2 linked regions of the Oreochromis niloticus genome follow. The protein of the gene in region 2 interacts with the protein of the main gene of each other region in a pairwise test. Links are inferred from orthologs where the notes say so. Each region holds a gene or a part of one and is shown on either strand. Other genes may lie near its edges.

Region 1 (7,723 bases), on a different chromosome or scaffold from region 2:
ATACAGTACAAATAAAATGTTCACGTTGTCTTCCCAACAGTTTCACTGACATCTACACTGGATGGCCAGGAAGCGTTCGCGATGTCTTCTCGGGCGCTTCTCCGGCGCTGATAATTGGCGTCTGTCTTGTGTCAGTGACGTAAAAGACGGATTTAATGCGACATGACCGTTCAAACAGCAGTCGCTTTCTAAAACATCGGATATGTATCGGATTCAGTACCACACACGAAAGTGACCTAGATCGGATTTGAAAATATCGGATTTGTGCCGTTCAAACTGTCATACCATGATCAGATATGGGTCACATAGGGTAAAAAAAAAATCGGATTTGATGCGCTTTCGCCTGCAGTGTGAATGTAGCCTAAGTGCCCACCCCGTTGTCTCGCTGCACGCCACTGAAATCCACCTCGTCTTCATCGCTGTCCTCTCGAGCATAGTAATGTCGCCTCCTGTTCTTCCTTTGGGCGCGGCTAGAAGACGTGGATGATCTTTCAGGAAAATCCTGTAGGATGAATCCATATTTAGAATTCATTTAATGCAACATTATTTTCACAAATTGTGCTGAAGATATAACTGCAGGAATGATGGGCCTAGAGATGTGGTGGGAATGGGGGGATAGAATCTATGTGTATGGATAAAATTAAAGTTATCAGTGAGTAACAAAGCTAACTAGGGGTTGTTACTGCTCTCATATAACTCTAGCCCTGCTGATAAGAGGTTGAAATGTCAGTTTGTTTAATGTTAACTGAGTGAGACCAGAAAAAGAGAAGGAAAAAAAACTGCAAATCATATTTATTTGAGAGAAAGAATCCAAACCTCAAGGCCTCAAGGCAAACTTAAAATGATACGTTAGGGACTCCTGGCAGAGTGAGGCTTTTGTGTAACAACTCGTGGTCTTCTACTCTGCACATTATTGCCCATGTTTTGTGTTTTATTAGCAGGAAGACCCTTTTGGTACATCCAATAATGCACCAATTACTGCTGAAATTTAAACCAATTTTAAGGTCCAAATGTATAACAAGTCTAACATATCTTCCAACTCCCATGTCTATTACAAAACACCCTAGAAGAGCAGCTTTAAATGAATAGATTAGAATAATAGATATGGATGCTGATTCTTCTAAACTGATCATCAGTCAGAAGTTTTCTTTACCAAAAAAACAAAAACCTGTTTCCCCCAGGAATTAAAACCAACGTGCCTCACCTGTACAGCATCCAAGTTTCCAAAGAACTGCTCCACAGGAAGGATCTGATTACTGTCATCATCTGGGAACATGATTTTGCCTGTTTCTTCATAATCCATATGCTCAGGCTCATATTTGTCCCAGATGCTATTCATTACGCAGCTGTCTGAATCCTGTCCCATCATCAGCGCGTTCTCTTTACCTTCCTGTCCTTCATGCTCTGGTGATGCTAAGCACCTCCTCCTGCCAGAAGACTGGTGGCATTCACAGCTGATGCAGGAGTCTCTCTCCAGAGGACCAGCTGCTTTAGTGTTCCCAACTGCTGAGCTGCTCTCAGACGACGAGTTCGCCTTTGGACTTTTCACACATCTCCTCCTTGCAGCAGATGTCTATGATACAAAAGTTAAGGAACAAAGTTAGGATGATGTTGGGGTAACCACAGCGGGACTCCACTGCAGTAATCACATCCTGTTAATTTGGAGCCACTCACAGCTGTCCGGTGTAGGGGTTACAGCTGTAGGGGTGTAGATAACTATACCAGATACACTCAGAAACAGCAGCTCATTTAACTCCTGCTTTTCTTTTCGACTCATCACACATCTGCAGCATTATGTACACAGACAAAACAAACCTTTCTGGTGTTTCTGGTCTCAGAGCTGCTCTTCCTCTTTCTTGGCTTCAAATTATCAACTTCACCAGGCATCTGCAAAGCATCATGATGTTTGTTTATATAGAGTACTTTATTAATGGAATGACATCGTGGGAAAAAAAAAACTATGGTTTTAGTCAGCTGAGAGGAAGCCGTCATAATGCCAGCGTTTGCTCCTGCTAAGCAGAAAATTAGCAAATGTTTTCACTCCACTCAGTAAAAGAAGCTAAATTTATCGGACAGCTCTTTAACGGGGGCAGTTTTAGGAGCATTTTCGCTTGTATGGAGATTTGTCATTTTCCAGTTCAAACACTGTCTTAACAAAAAAAATAAAAATAAAAATAGTGGACAACATCAATCGGATAAAGTTATAAAGCTGGCTCTGCAGCCCGCTGAGCTGCTTAAACCCCCCAACAGCGCCCCTCTATCCTCCGCCGGCTAAACTCCTGCTAATTTACTGGCAAATTAAAGTCGCGTTACTCGTCAACTATGACCCAGTTCTTCCAGTACAGTCAATACGCCTAATCCCTCCGGCATTGCTTTTTTACGTGTAGACGTGCCCGAGCTACGCCGAATGTGAGTCCATAAAAGGCAGCTGATAGTTGAACTGCTAAGACAACACCTGCTCAGCACAGCAGCTAGCTTTCGCCTACAAAAATCAAAGCAATATCGTCGGAAAATAACCCACCCCGGTCAAAAATGCCCCGGGTATCATAATTTGAAGCACGCGGCAGAACAATGACTCCAGCAGTCGGTATCGGTACAATAACACCAACACGGAGGTCACGACGAAGCTAAAGCGTCACTAAACACAACAAAAACGCCTAATTTCGACATCTCGGCAACAAGCTAATGCGGCCAGCTACGAGCTAACAGTAGGAGAGAAAAAAATAACTAATTCGACCTGCCTGCCGGTTTTCTCATTTATTTAAACACGTACTTACCTTATGTATCATTTGCCGGCGTGGATATTTAGGTTTTTCAGCACCTACGATATTGAAAGTTTCCACCACCTTGGGGTTTTCTGGCTTTCCAATCGGCTGGCTTCAACTAGCGACTAAACAACGGCGATAATTTTACGATGTGAGCGCTCCCCGCCGCCTCCCCGGTGTATTTCCTGCTGGTGAGGTTCACTCAGAGGTCTGCAGTTTCAATATCAGGACGTCCTCTGCGCCACACTGCACCGCCACCGACACCACCCTGTACTAAAGAGCATTAGTGAAAATGGAGAAAAAAAGAAATATATCTTAAAACACACGTGTTATTTTATATTTATATATATAATATTAGATTTCTATTATAAAAAATATAATTAAAAGTAGTTTAGTTCGAGGGGTTTGTAAATGCTTTTTACTAGATGTATTTTTGTATGTATCTGATTTTCTTTTAGGTTTTTTTCCCCACTATTTTAATATTTTATTTTTCCACAAACTTGGCCTTCTCCACTTTCACGCCATCTCAGTGCTTCTGCGGGAGTTGTTTCCACCCATCTTGTGACTTATGCTAATGAAAGGGGTTCTCGTGACACGCTGGTTCACAGTAAGCCCGTATTTCTCCGTGTTATTTTGTGAGACGGGACAATCATACGTCAAATGCCAGTTCACGCCATGTTTCAAAGTTTGGCTTTTGTTTAGCAGTGACGTATGAAGGAGGAGATTCCGGAAGTCGAATGCAGTTCCAATAAATGTCCACAAGATGGCGCAATAAGGTTTTTAAAGAAGCGTCTAATTCTTGTAATCAGCCAACAGGTCACACTGGCTTCGATTTTAACAGCTGTGTAATCATTTAGAACATACAGTTGACTTTGTCCGGTACCAAAACAGTAAGTAAACATAATTTAGAAATCATTTCATGTTCTAATTGTCATTCATCGCACAGTCCCTGTCAGGAGGCTATTGATTGCCTCCCACTCCTCCAGAGCAACCGACAACAACACGCGGCAACAGATGGTGGGGCCCCACGGATCTGAGCGTCACGGACTCAGTGTGGGATTTTTGTACGTTAGGAGACAGAAAACACCGAGACAGCTCGAGGAGTGCTGTAGTCCAGTATTTCTCACCTAGCACTGGAATTAAAATTAGACTGTCAAACTTCTTTAGAAAATCATCATCGCTGTTCCTTTATAAACGCTGTGGTGTTTGTTTTATTACTCACATGAAGATGGTTGTTAGTTTATTTATAGAATTATTTCTGAATCATTTCGTTGTATTTTAGTTCTGTTCTCTATCACTTCTAATCATGTAAATTAACGCGGATTAAAGGAGCTACTGATATTCAATATTAAGAATAAGATAATGATGTGGTGGCTAGTGGATCGGCAAAACCTGGTGAACACGTGTGTGTGTGTGTGTGTGTGTGTGTGTGTGTGTGTGTGTGTGTGTGTGTTAGACAGAGAGAGAGAGAGAGAGAGAGAGAGAGAGAGAGAAATGGGATACCTACAGGTCCCAGATCAGTTTAGTTTATTAAGGGGAGGAGATATTTGGGGGTGGGGTGAGATAGTGGTATCCTCCATCAGATCTCCAGATAGTCTGTGTGGAGGCAAAACCCTGAGAAGAAGCTCGGGGACGAACTACACAGCAAAGAGGGACGAATGTGTAACTTCACTCTGCGCTGTCATGGTCAAGACGTGGCCAAGGAGACACTTGACTGAGCGCTCTTACCCCGTGTCTTCGTGAGGTGGGACTGCAGTCTCCACTCAGGCGCACAGTTGTGAAACATTATGAAGGCATCTGAGGGTCCCAGCGTGTCACGGTGACAGCAATGGATCACTTTTTTCGGAGAAAGCGGATCCCCGCTTTTCTGAAACCCCTGTTGAGTCTGTCTCTGATCTTTGCGTCTTTTCTCATGATCCAAAAGCTGAAACTGTCGGAGAAAGACGCAGTGGGGGTTAAACATGTGAGGGATCCGGCCTGGTGCGGCTCGGAGTGTTTTTCATTCAAGAAGACAGCTATGACCAGTTCGGGGACCTCAGATTCTCCCGTGCCCGTCAAGGATTTGGAGACACAGCAGGTCCCGAACGTAACTCGGGCTTCTTGGGACGCACAGGTTCTGAACTGTAGCGCGGACGCATCGGTGAGGACCCAGGACTGGTTCCGGCGCTTGGACCAGAGATTTCACCAGTTTGTGCTTCACAGACACTGCAGGTATTTCCCCATGCTCATCAATCACCCGGAGAAGTGCGCCGATGGAAACGTTCATCTCCTCGTGGTGGTCAAGTCCGTTATTGAGCAGCACGACCGGAGGGAGGCCGTGCGTAAAACCTGGGGGAAGGAGCAAACCGTAAATGGGAAGAAAATTAAAACTTTGTTTTTACTCGGAAGCCCAAACACTGGCAAAGACGCCAAGAACCTACAGAAACTGATCGAGTATGAGGACCAAATCTTTGGGGACATCCTGCAGTGGGACTTCATGGACACCTTCTTCAACCTGACTCTGAAAGAGGTCAATTTTCTCAAGTGGTTCTACATCTACTGCCCCAACGTGCAGTTTATATTTAAGGGAGACGATGATGTGTTTGTGAACACGCACAACCTGCTGGAGCTCATCGACTTCAAAGTGGAGCAGCGCAAAGCGGCCCGCTTGTTTATGGGGGACACCATCTCCAAGGCGATCCCCATCCGAAACCGACAGAGCAAATATTACATCCCCAAGGAGCTGTACGACAAGCCGTATCCACCCTACGTGGGAGGTGGGGGGTTTCTGATGTCCGCCTATTTAGCCCGTAGGCTCTTCGTGACCTCGGAGGGCGTGGAGTTGTACCCCATTGATGATGTGTTTTTGGGGATGTGCCTGCAGAGGATCCACTTATCCCCAGAGATGCATCCGGGCTTCAGGACATTCGGCATCACCAGACGCAGGGCGAGCACAATGAACACAGAGCCCTGCTTTTATAAAAACCTAATCGTGGTCCACAAACTGAGCGCGCAGGAGCTGCTCAGGATGTGGAGCGTGGTGCACAGCCAAGACCTGATCTGCGCACAAAAAACTTCGATATGATTGACAGAAAGTACAAAGTAAATAAATTCACTAAATCTGAGCTCACGGGAAGTCTTCTTTGGACGATCATACTTGATGATCTTTACGCAATCTGCGGAGTCACGTTAATTTTTCCTTTACCGTTACGCACGGGTCTGACATGGAAGAGGAACTGAATTTAATATTGTGTGTCACATTAAAACGATTGATTTGTTTTCAGCTGACTCGGCACGTTGGCGCTCTCATCTCCACTTCTGTATGGGTTGATTTTCCGTTTTGTAAAAACCACTAGAGCACAGCTTTCGCATTGTGAAAGCACCCGTGTTTCTGTGCCATTCCAGACTGAACTGCCTTAATCTGAATTTAAAAATTAATTTAGAGACATAGATGTAAGAAACCCACGGGTGTTCGTGCAGGTGCGAAAAAGACTGACTTGTTACATCCAAGTGTTTCCCTTAAGCTTCCTTTTCCGACTTCAGGAATTCATTGCAACGTTCAAGTGCAACATGGGACTACATGATTTACAGCATAGAACACACAGCTGCATTCATATTTGAATGATTATTTTATTGAATAGAAATTGTAAATTGTAAAAATCAAATTCTGGGTATTTTAAAGATAATATATTGGTTTTGTTTTACCTTGTTTTGTAAGATTTACAAAGGCAGCCCTGAAACCAAAGAAACCACGTGTGTGTAACACTGTAAATTCATGTGTGTTAGTGTCAATAAAACCAGAGCTCTCTTGTAAACACTGAATAATGTTGCAAAACTTGATTGATATGTGTTTTATATTGCTCAACAATAATCCTGGAAGTTGGACACCGCCCATTTTTTTAATACACAGAGGGCTCTTAAAGAGAGCCGTGTATTACATGTAACTTTTATGGTGAAACACTGATTGGGAATTTTGATTACATGGAAGCACATGTGCAATGGTCCCTGAATAATGCTTTATTTAACAAATACATCTGCAGAAAAAAGAAGCCAAAATGCTGTTGACTACAAACGCATGAACACAACTTTTACATCTACTTTTGCGGCAGCTCTCAGTACAGAAGCAGACTAAAGCAAGTAGTTTCCCCACTAATAAAACATACGCTCACATTAATGTTATTACCGTTTCCAGATACATCACAATCACTTTGTCGTCATCATAACACTGTGCAGCACAACATGAGCACAACATAAGAGATAATTATAAACCAGGCTAAATGTTATATGTAGTATTTAACATTTCAGCTTGTGATTCTATCAGTTTGAAGCCAGTGATGTGATTCTGAACACTGGAGGGAAAAAATGTGGTGTACATACAGTATGTAGCATATTCATGTCCACTGCTTTCCTCATTCTAGCAGTGCTGTTTCATTCAGAGACCTACTTTGTCTCATTTTACTTCTACTTCATACTATCAGTAGGCATTGTGGAGGGAAGTAAGTCACTGTAGTGTGCTAGAAATTCAGCAGTAAAACATCATCCTTTGGCAAAAGTGCTATTTCTATATAGAATATGTATAAAAGGAAAGCAAATATGTAAACAGTTGGCTAACTGTGGAGTCGACAGCAAAGCTTCCCTCAAAGCAAAGAACATCTTCTGCTTGTAACTAAACTGTGACCTCGTTCCTCCTCCTGTTACTGGGTGTGCAAGAAGGTATGAGTCATCGTCTTCTGAAGGGATGCAGCAACTAGATAAATTTTTACTGAAACTGCAACGGTTACCCATAGAAGTTTCTCAACCCATTCATTGGGTATAGGCCGATTCAACACAAGAAACGGTTGATTTTAGTTGTGATGTGGAGCATAAATTTGCCAATCCTTACAGTGTGTAGAAGCTGGGTGGAGTTCCATGGGACAGCTAGTTATCTGCAGTGTGCATGGATCAGAGGATGAAATCTTAAAAGGTCCAAACTTGCACTA
Region 2 (7,058 bases):
TTCTGCTCAAAAAAGAACTTGCTTGTTGAACAAAAGTAACTTTAAGTCGAAATTTGGCAGGGGTATGAATAATTATGGGCTTAACTGTATGTCAGACGTACGAATTTCCCTTTGAGATCAATAAAGTTACTCTTGTTCTTGTAAGGGGTTGCCACAGCGGGTGATTTGGTAAATATGTTTACTGCGGGTGCCCTTCCTGCCACAAAGCTCCCAGAGAGCTGTGCCTCCCTCTGCTCTCATTCACCTAACACGCAAACGTTGGGTGAATGAGTTAACACAACAAACTTTGTGACAAATAAAGACCTAAACAGTTGTCAGGTGCCTCTCCTCGGAGTCTCTTTGCCCACAGTTCAACTTCACACTCTTTCCCAGCAGTGACAGAGTCCTGTTTCTGCTCTGCAGCCTCTCTGAGGTCACCAAACCAGTTCTCTGTCTGTCCTCCTGCTGTGACTTTGCACCACCAGAGTAATGATTTGATACTTTATCCCAAAACATGAAAAACAACTTGGCTCACTAAAGTAAAAACAATGGAGGAATCCAAACAAAGAACAGCAGCAATGACAAACACTGTGGGTGAGTAACATGTCCACAGTCCACAGTGAAATATTCAGGACACAGAAACATTATTTGAAAGCAACAGTTTGGAGTTTACATGTTTAAACTGTTTAGACCACAGCTCGTGATAGTTGGTCCACATTTCTCCTTACTGCTCATATTAACATCTGTGTCCTCCTGAACAGTGCTAAAGCCAGCTAAGATCACACTGTGGTCCTGGAAATGTGAAGCCTGGATTCTACTCGGCTGAGACAAAGACACTGACAGCCGGAGACGTCACAGCCAGGCTCCTGTTCCATTTCTTGAAAGTGCATCCCTTGGGGGACATGCATACTTGGTGCACTGTAATTTTCTGTGGATGAATCCACATGGTCACAAAAGACAGACAGGCGGACGAACAGCACAGACCTGTGTGATGATCCTTACGTCCCTCTGACCCGAGCACAGCAGGCTGAAGAACTGACGGCACAATTACCTTCATATAGACCGTCAACCAAACCATCATTTTCTGCAGTTATCTTAGTTTAGCTGCAACAACCATTCACAGTTTAGCTTCTTAACAAAAGGCCCGGATAGAAATCAAATATCTACAATTCACCAACTAAGCGAACGTTCATGTCACTGACCTGTGACGGGACGGCAGAGGAAACGCTCCCAATGAGAAGCTCCGACACAGAACATTCCTGTCAGTTAGGCCTGTACAACATTATAACACTGCTCATATTTTTCAAGAAGACGTGACCTGAGATTGCACTGATGAGTTATCAATACTTCTTTTTCCCTTCATTTTTATTTATCATACTATACTTCTGATTATTGTTACTTTATAACTCAGTGGCATAAAACAGACAGCTGAGTGATGGACAGAACTAAAAACAGGGACAGATTACAATCAGTATAACTACACAGTTATTAGAACAGCAAACATAAAGATTACAGATATAATGTAACTGGATGACAACTGTAAGCTGTCGACAAAGTAAATAAATACTTATAATATTTTCTAACTGTTTACCCAGTGAGCTGTGCTCATGTAAAACAGTGACAGAGGATGGAGGCGTCTTTTTCTTGTTGAACAAGTGATACAACAAAGAATCCTACTGTGTTTCAGCAACAAGGCAGCAAATAAAATTATAATATATAATAACATGTTATTGTTATTATTATTATTACTACTGCCACCATAGTAATTTGGCTTAAGCACAGCCTGTTACACACCAATTTGCATGTAAGATGAGTGAAGTGAAAGATAAGTGCCCCCCACCCCGCCCTTTCTCCTATAATTAAAAAAAGCAGCTTTAACTTTCAATTAATAACAAACACATGAGGAAAACCTGTATAGTATTCAGTTCGCAGCATACCCCTCTGCTGCTTCATAATGCACACAGGATTCAACACCATATACAACTATTGCAGAAAGCATTGTGTTAAAGTGACACCACTACAGGGTTACGTTACCTTGCAGAGGAGCTCGGTCATAATCAGATTAGGAAGTACCTTTTTAAAAAAAAAAAATTAATAGTATTTGATGATATGGGCTATTGGAATACTGTTTCAGCAATACTCGATAAGTAAAACTCACCAGTGCACAAAATCACTTTTTCACATATCAATAATAGCTCAGTTATAACCATTTCTTCTTATTATAAAGCCAACTTATGTTAGTGTTGTTTCATTTGATGGGCTGTTGCACTTTCGACTTGGAGCAAAACACAACTTAGCACTGTAACAACTCTGCCTGCCATACTGGGAATGACCGGTATTAAACACCTGTCTGTATCCTAATATTCAGTGGACTAATCAGAAAACTTCATTCTAAAGTAGGGACAGTGACAGGTTCGGAGCTGATGGATGTCTCCCAAAAGTCGGCAGCGAAAGGCTGACTCCCGGACGGAAGGAGCGATAGCCAGCGTGCTAAGGGGCTGATTACAAATCCACTTGGCTGATTGGCTAAGAGGCTAACAGCTATCTGGCCTGCCTACTGTCAGCTAACGATGTTGTTGCTCAGCTAACGTTAGCTAATCACGTTAACCTGAGCTAACAAAGAGTCCATATATCTTCAGCACAACTGACATGTACGGTGGTATTTGACGCATCTAGCTAGGACAAGTCCATGCCTCTTTAACGGTACCAGCACCGGGGCACAGAGGGGGCATGCGTGATAAGCACAGGGTATTGACAGTTTATTGTCCTCTGTGTGTGCGCGCGCGTGTGTGTGTATGTGTGTGCGTGTGTGTGGCATCAGAAAAAAATCCAACCTCAAAACACACACACGCGACCCAAGTAGCTACAGCAGACGAGACAATAGTTGATATGTAGAAGAAACAACAGTTGTCGGGCCGCGGAATAACATGTTATCAAGCTCACCTTCGAGTCGATTCTCGGGGGTTCATTTGTTGTCTTCTTTACTCTCCCTGGCAGCCATTACCGCCGCGCACGTTCTGCTCGCACAGTCAAACCAAGAAGGTTTTGTCAAACACTGGACGTGAGAGCGCGCAGCTGCTATGCAGCACAGCGCGTCAGTGGCGATAGAGGGACGACTTCCGGTCATACTCTTCAAAATAAAATTTCCATAGATACATTTTTATAACGGAGACTCAGTAACCAGGAGGTGGAGAAACGTTGACGGGCGGGGGTATATTTTTCTAAACGTGTTTTCATGAAAAAAAAATTCTAAAGTACATGCAGAGAAATGTACTTTGGCTCTTCATTAAGTCTTGTTGCATCAGAAAATTCAGCTTTGCTTTATATTCTAAGAGTTGTTTACTTGCTCTGTGTTTGGTTGACTTTTTTAGTCCTTTTTGTGGGGATTTTTTATTTGTTTGTTTTATTTTAAACTAAACTCTTATACTTTAACATCTGAAATGAAATCCTGACTCAAAGATGGCAAAAGGCACGGTGTATTTCAAAAAATGGCAAACTTCCTATTATAACTAGCACATTTGATTAGCGTTATTCAGTCAGTGAAATGAGAACACGTTCCTTCTAGCCTTCACACCAAATATCACTTAGTGAACCAAATGCCATGTGCACCTGCAGAAGAGGATTGGGAATTTTTTTACTCTGCAAAAAAAAGACCCCCACTTTTTTCTATTTCCAGTGGCACTAATCCTCTTCCGTACACACCTGTACATGTTTATGTAATCTAATGTAGAGGGCCTGCTATCCAAATATCACCTGTAGTTCTTTCTCAAATACAGACACTGATGCTTGGATGATAGACAAACCTATTTGTCTGATTTTAACACGTTTACAGAAAACACATGACCAAAATCCTAAAACTGAACAGATGAACAAACCTATACTAGCTGTCCAATAATTTTCAGTATTCTAGAGTGGACATTGTGCAATTGATATAATCGCTTCATGCGAAGAAAGAGCACCACAGGTGTGATTGCTTTGAGTTTGCTGATGCAGGGCGTTGCTGCAAATATAGAGGTCTCTCTGTAGATCTAAAGAAGGCATATAATAGGGTAACAGAGGCACTTTGGTACTGCAGGAGGAAGTCAGAAGTGCCAGAGAAGTATGTGAAGTGGTCCGTATGAGGACAGCAAGACAGTAGTAAGGTGTGCAGTGGGAGTGAGAGATGTGTTCAAGGTGAACATGAGATTACAAGGAATCAGCTTTGAGCCCGCTCTTGTTTGCAGTGGTGATGAGCAGGTTGACTGATGAGGTGGGGTAGGAATGGACTATGATGTTCACAGATGATACTGTGATCTGAGAGGAGCTGGAAGAGAACCTGGAGAGGTGGAGGTATGCTCTGGAGACAAGAATAATGAAAGTCAGTAGAAGCAAAATAAAATACATGTGAAGAAGAGGGGGACAGGTGTGCATGAGTGAGGCTTGGCCACCTATAACCCTGTCGCTGGTTCACCACTGTTCCTTACTTGGACCCCTTTGATAGATCCTGAACACTGCAGACTGACAACATCTCACAAGAGCTGCAGTTTTGGAGATGCTTTTGAAGTCGTGTAGCCAACACAATGTGGCCTGTCACAAGGATAGAGACACATAACCATTCATGTGCACATTTACATTTACAGTCAATTTAGATTCACTAATTTAGCTAACCCCATACATGTCTTTGGACTACGGTAGGAAGCCAGAGTATCCGTGGCGAACAATACAAAGTCCATACAAAAAGGCCCCAGTGTGGATCTGAAGCCAGTACTTTCTGAGAGGTGACAGTGGTAAACTCTGCACCACCATGCCCATGCTGCCCATAATAAATAATAAAAATGCAAAATAAATAAAAACTATAATGAATTAGACATAGACGGAGCAACTCTGGAGGCTCGCCAGGTAGCCAGCAACATAAGTGAAGGAACCCTGGAGGCCAGCACTAGAAGAGATGTGGCCCATCCAGAGGCTTGGCAGGAGATCTGAGGAGATGATTTACTGGAAGAGACCTGCATCGATGGAGGAAGCAACAGAGTCTGCCAGGAGACCAGACAAAACGCCAGCAGCAGTGGAGATGGAATGCATCAGGAAGCCTGGCTGGGGGCTGGTGGCTGAGGAGGAAACGGGACACCTCAGGGGGCTTGGGAGTTGCTTGGATGGCTGGGAGAAGTTGCTCTCAGAGGGTGTTTTAGTACCGTTCTTTATTTGTGGCTGTGTTCTTCATGGCAAAATTGTGAGTTAACTCGCTTGGATGGGAAGCAACCCCACACATGAATGGTACCAGGGTGTTTTACTGTTGGCATGATGCAGGACTGATGGTAGCACTCCACCTTTTCCTTCACTGTGCAATCATGTTTCTGGATGCCCCAAACAGAGAAAAGACCAGTCTGTCCTTGATGTTTTTGTGGCAACTTCTCTGCCCTGCTTGAAAAAAGACCATCCTCCAAAAGCCTTTGCTTCACTGTGCATGCAGATGTACTCACACCTGCCTGCTGCATTCCTGACCACGTTCTGCACTGGTGGTGCCCCGATCCTGAAGCTGAATTACCTTTAGCAGACAGTGCTTGCTGGACACTAAAGCCTTCTTCATAACAATTGAACTTCTACTAGCAGCAGTATCCTTTTATGCAAAGCAAGGATGACTGCTCATGTTTCCTTGCAGGTAACTAAGGACGGACGATGATTTCAAACACTGCCCTCCATTTAAAGCGTCCAGTCTGCTATTCTAAGGGCTTGATTACACTCCATTGTGGACACAAACACTGACAGCTGGAGACCCAACAGCCAAGCAGTCATTCATAGTAAGCTTTTTTGACTTCCACTTAAAGTCCGCCACCTGAGGAGCATGCCCAAATGGTCTCCACAGACAAACCAGTGCGGTCAGAAAAAACAGGCAGGCATGCAGACATCTGCAGGGACCCTCGCACTAATTGTCTGATGATTAAACTACTGGGATCGAGTGGACCCTGACCAATTCACAGAGGAAGAACATATAAACCCTGCTTAGCTCAGTCAGCATGACAGAGTGATTTCCAGCCATGTTCTTATCAACACTCACCTCTGTTAATGAGAGGATCACTAATGATGTCAGAGAGTCCATCGGTAGCAGTGGAAATGGGTTTTATAGGATTATGTTCATTTTTATGGCAAAGATGAAACACGTGGATGCATTTGATCAATCTTGATAATATTCTGGAGTACATGCAGATTGCCAGCAAACTTTGTGATAACCAATACTTGTGTTGTTCTCAAAACCTTTGACTATGATTGTACTATATTATCAAACACACCCTGAGTTTTAAGGTAGGTTTATTAGATTTAGTGCAGTTTCATATGTTAGTCTGTGTTAACCTGTTCAACAGCTACCTTTATATCAGCTGAAAATCCCATCTATGGTATTATTAAATTCCCCCACAAGAGGGCAGAATACTTTCAGCTTTGGCTTTTAGATGACACGGTCTCAGTCTGTTTAAGGATTTCTTTGATGGTCACATCTTATCTTGTTGTTCATGAAATCATTACAAATTAGTACTGTACCTTTGCTCCAAGGATTTCAAAGCACTGATGCCATTTATTCAAATATTTCTCTGTCATATGACTTTTTGAAACCATTAACAGATTTTTGATCAAGAAAGTATGAAAACTTCTTTCTGTTGATAAATAAACAGCATTTTTGCAGCTATAATTTCAGGTTTTTAATCTCAAAATGCTGATTTACTACGTCAAATTTCTCAAAACATAGCTCAGAACTGAGAAAATCACTTGGAATTTTGAGTCGTTATGTTGGAATAATAATTCTGGCTCATAAAGGACAAAAATGATTTTGTCAGTGGTGAAAACAAACTTCCATAACAAAGTGATCCAGCATAGGGAAATAAATAAATCCTGCACGATAGTACATCATACTGTACGTTATCCATATTCACAGTTACGTGTAATGAAAAAACACCAGTTTTAATATATTTTTCTCTCTTTTTTAATGTTCATTGTGGACTCAACGGTTCTGGTTCTGATCATTATTATTGTGTTATGTTTCATTCTTGTTAGGATTTTCTTGTTCTCAGAGTGTTCCCTCCCTGTTGCCATGTCTGTTGTCTTAGTGT

What was found.
Region 1: the proteins of pdik1l (region 2) and lg20h1orf174 interact in binary tests that used the Homo sapiens proteins (3 or more experiments, as listed by UniProt). The two-hybrid records come from large-scale screens. The link is inferred for Oreochromis niloticus from reciprocal best matches to the Homo sapiens genes PDIK1L and C1orf174.

The regions. Positions count from the first base shown.
Region 1 is NC_031984.2:26,355,470-26,363,192, reverse strand, and holds lg20h1orf174 (UPF0688 protein C1orf174 homolog), read right to left. Parts: upstream 3,019-7,723; 5' UTR 2,790-3,018; coding exon 2,778-2,789; intron 1,888-2,777; coding exon 1,816-1,887; intron 1,574-1,815; coding exon 1,205-1,573; intron 503-1,204; coding exon 362-502; 3' UTR 238-361; downstream 1-237. Other genes in the region: b3gnt7l (UDP-GlcNAc:betaGal beta-1,3-N-acetylglucosaminyltransferase 7, like), read left to right, coding at 4,594-5,829.
Region 2 is NC_031985.2:38,672,845-38,679,902, forward strand, and holds the start of pdik1l (serine/threonine-protein kinase pdik1l), read right to left. Parts: upstream 3,092-7,058; 5' UTR 2,923-3,091; intron 1-2,922.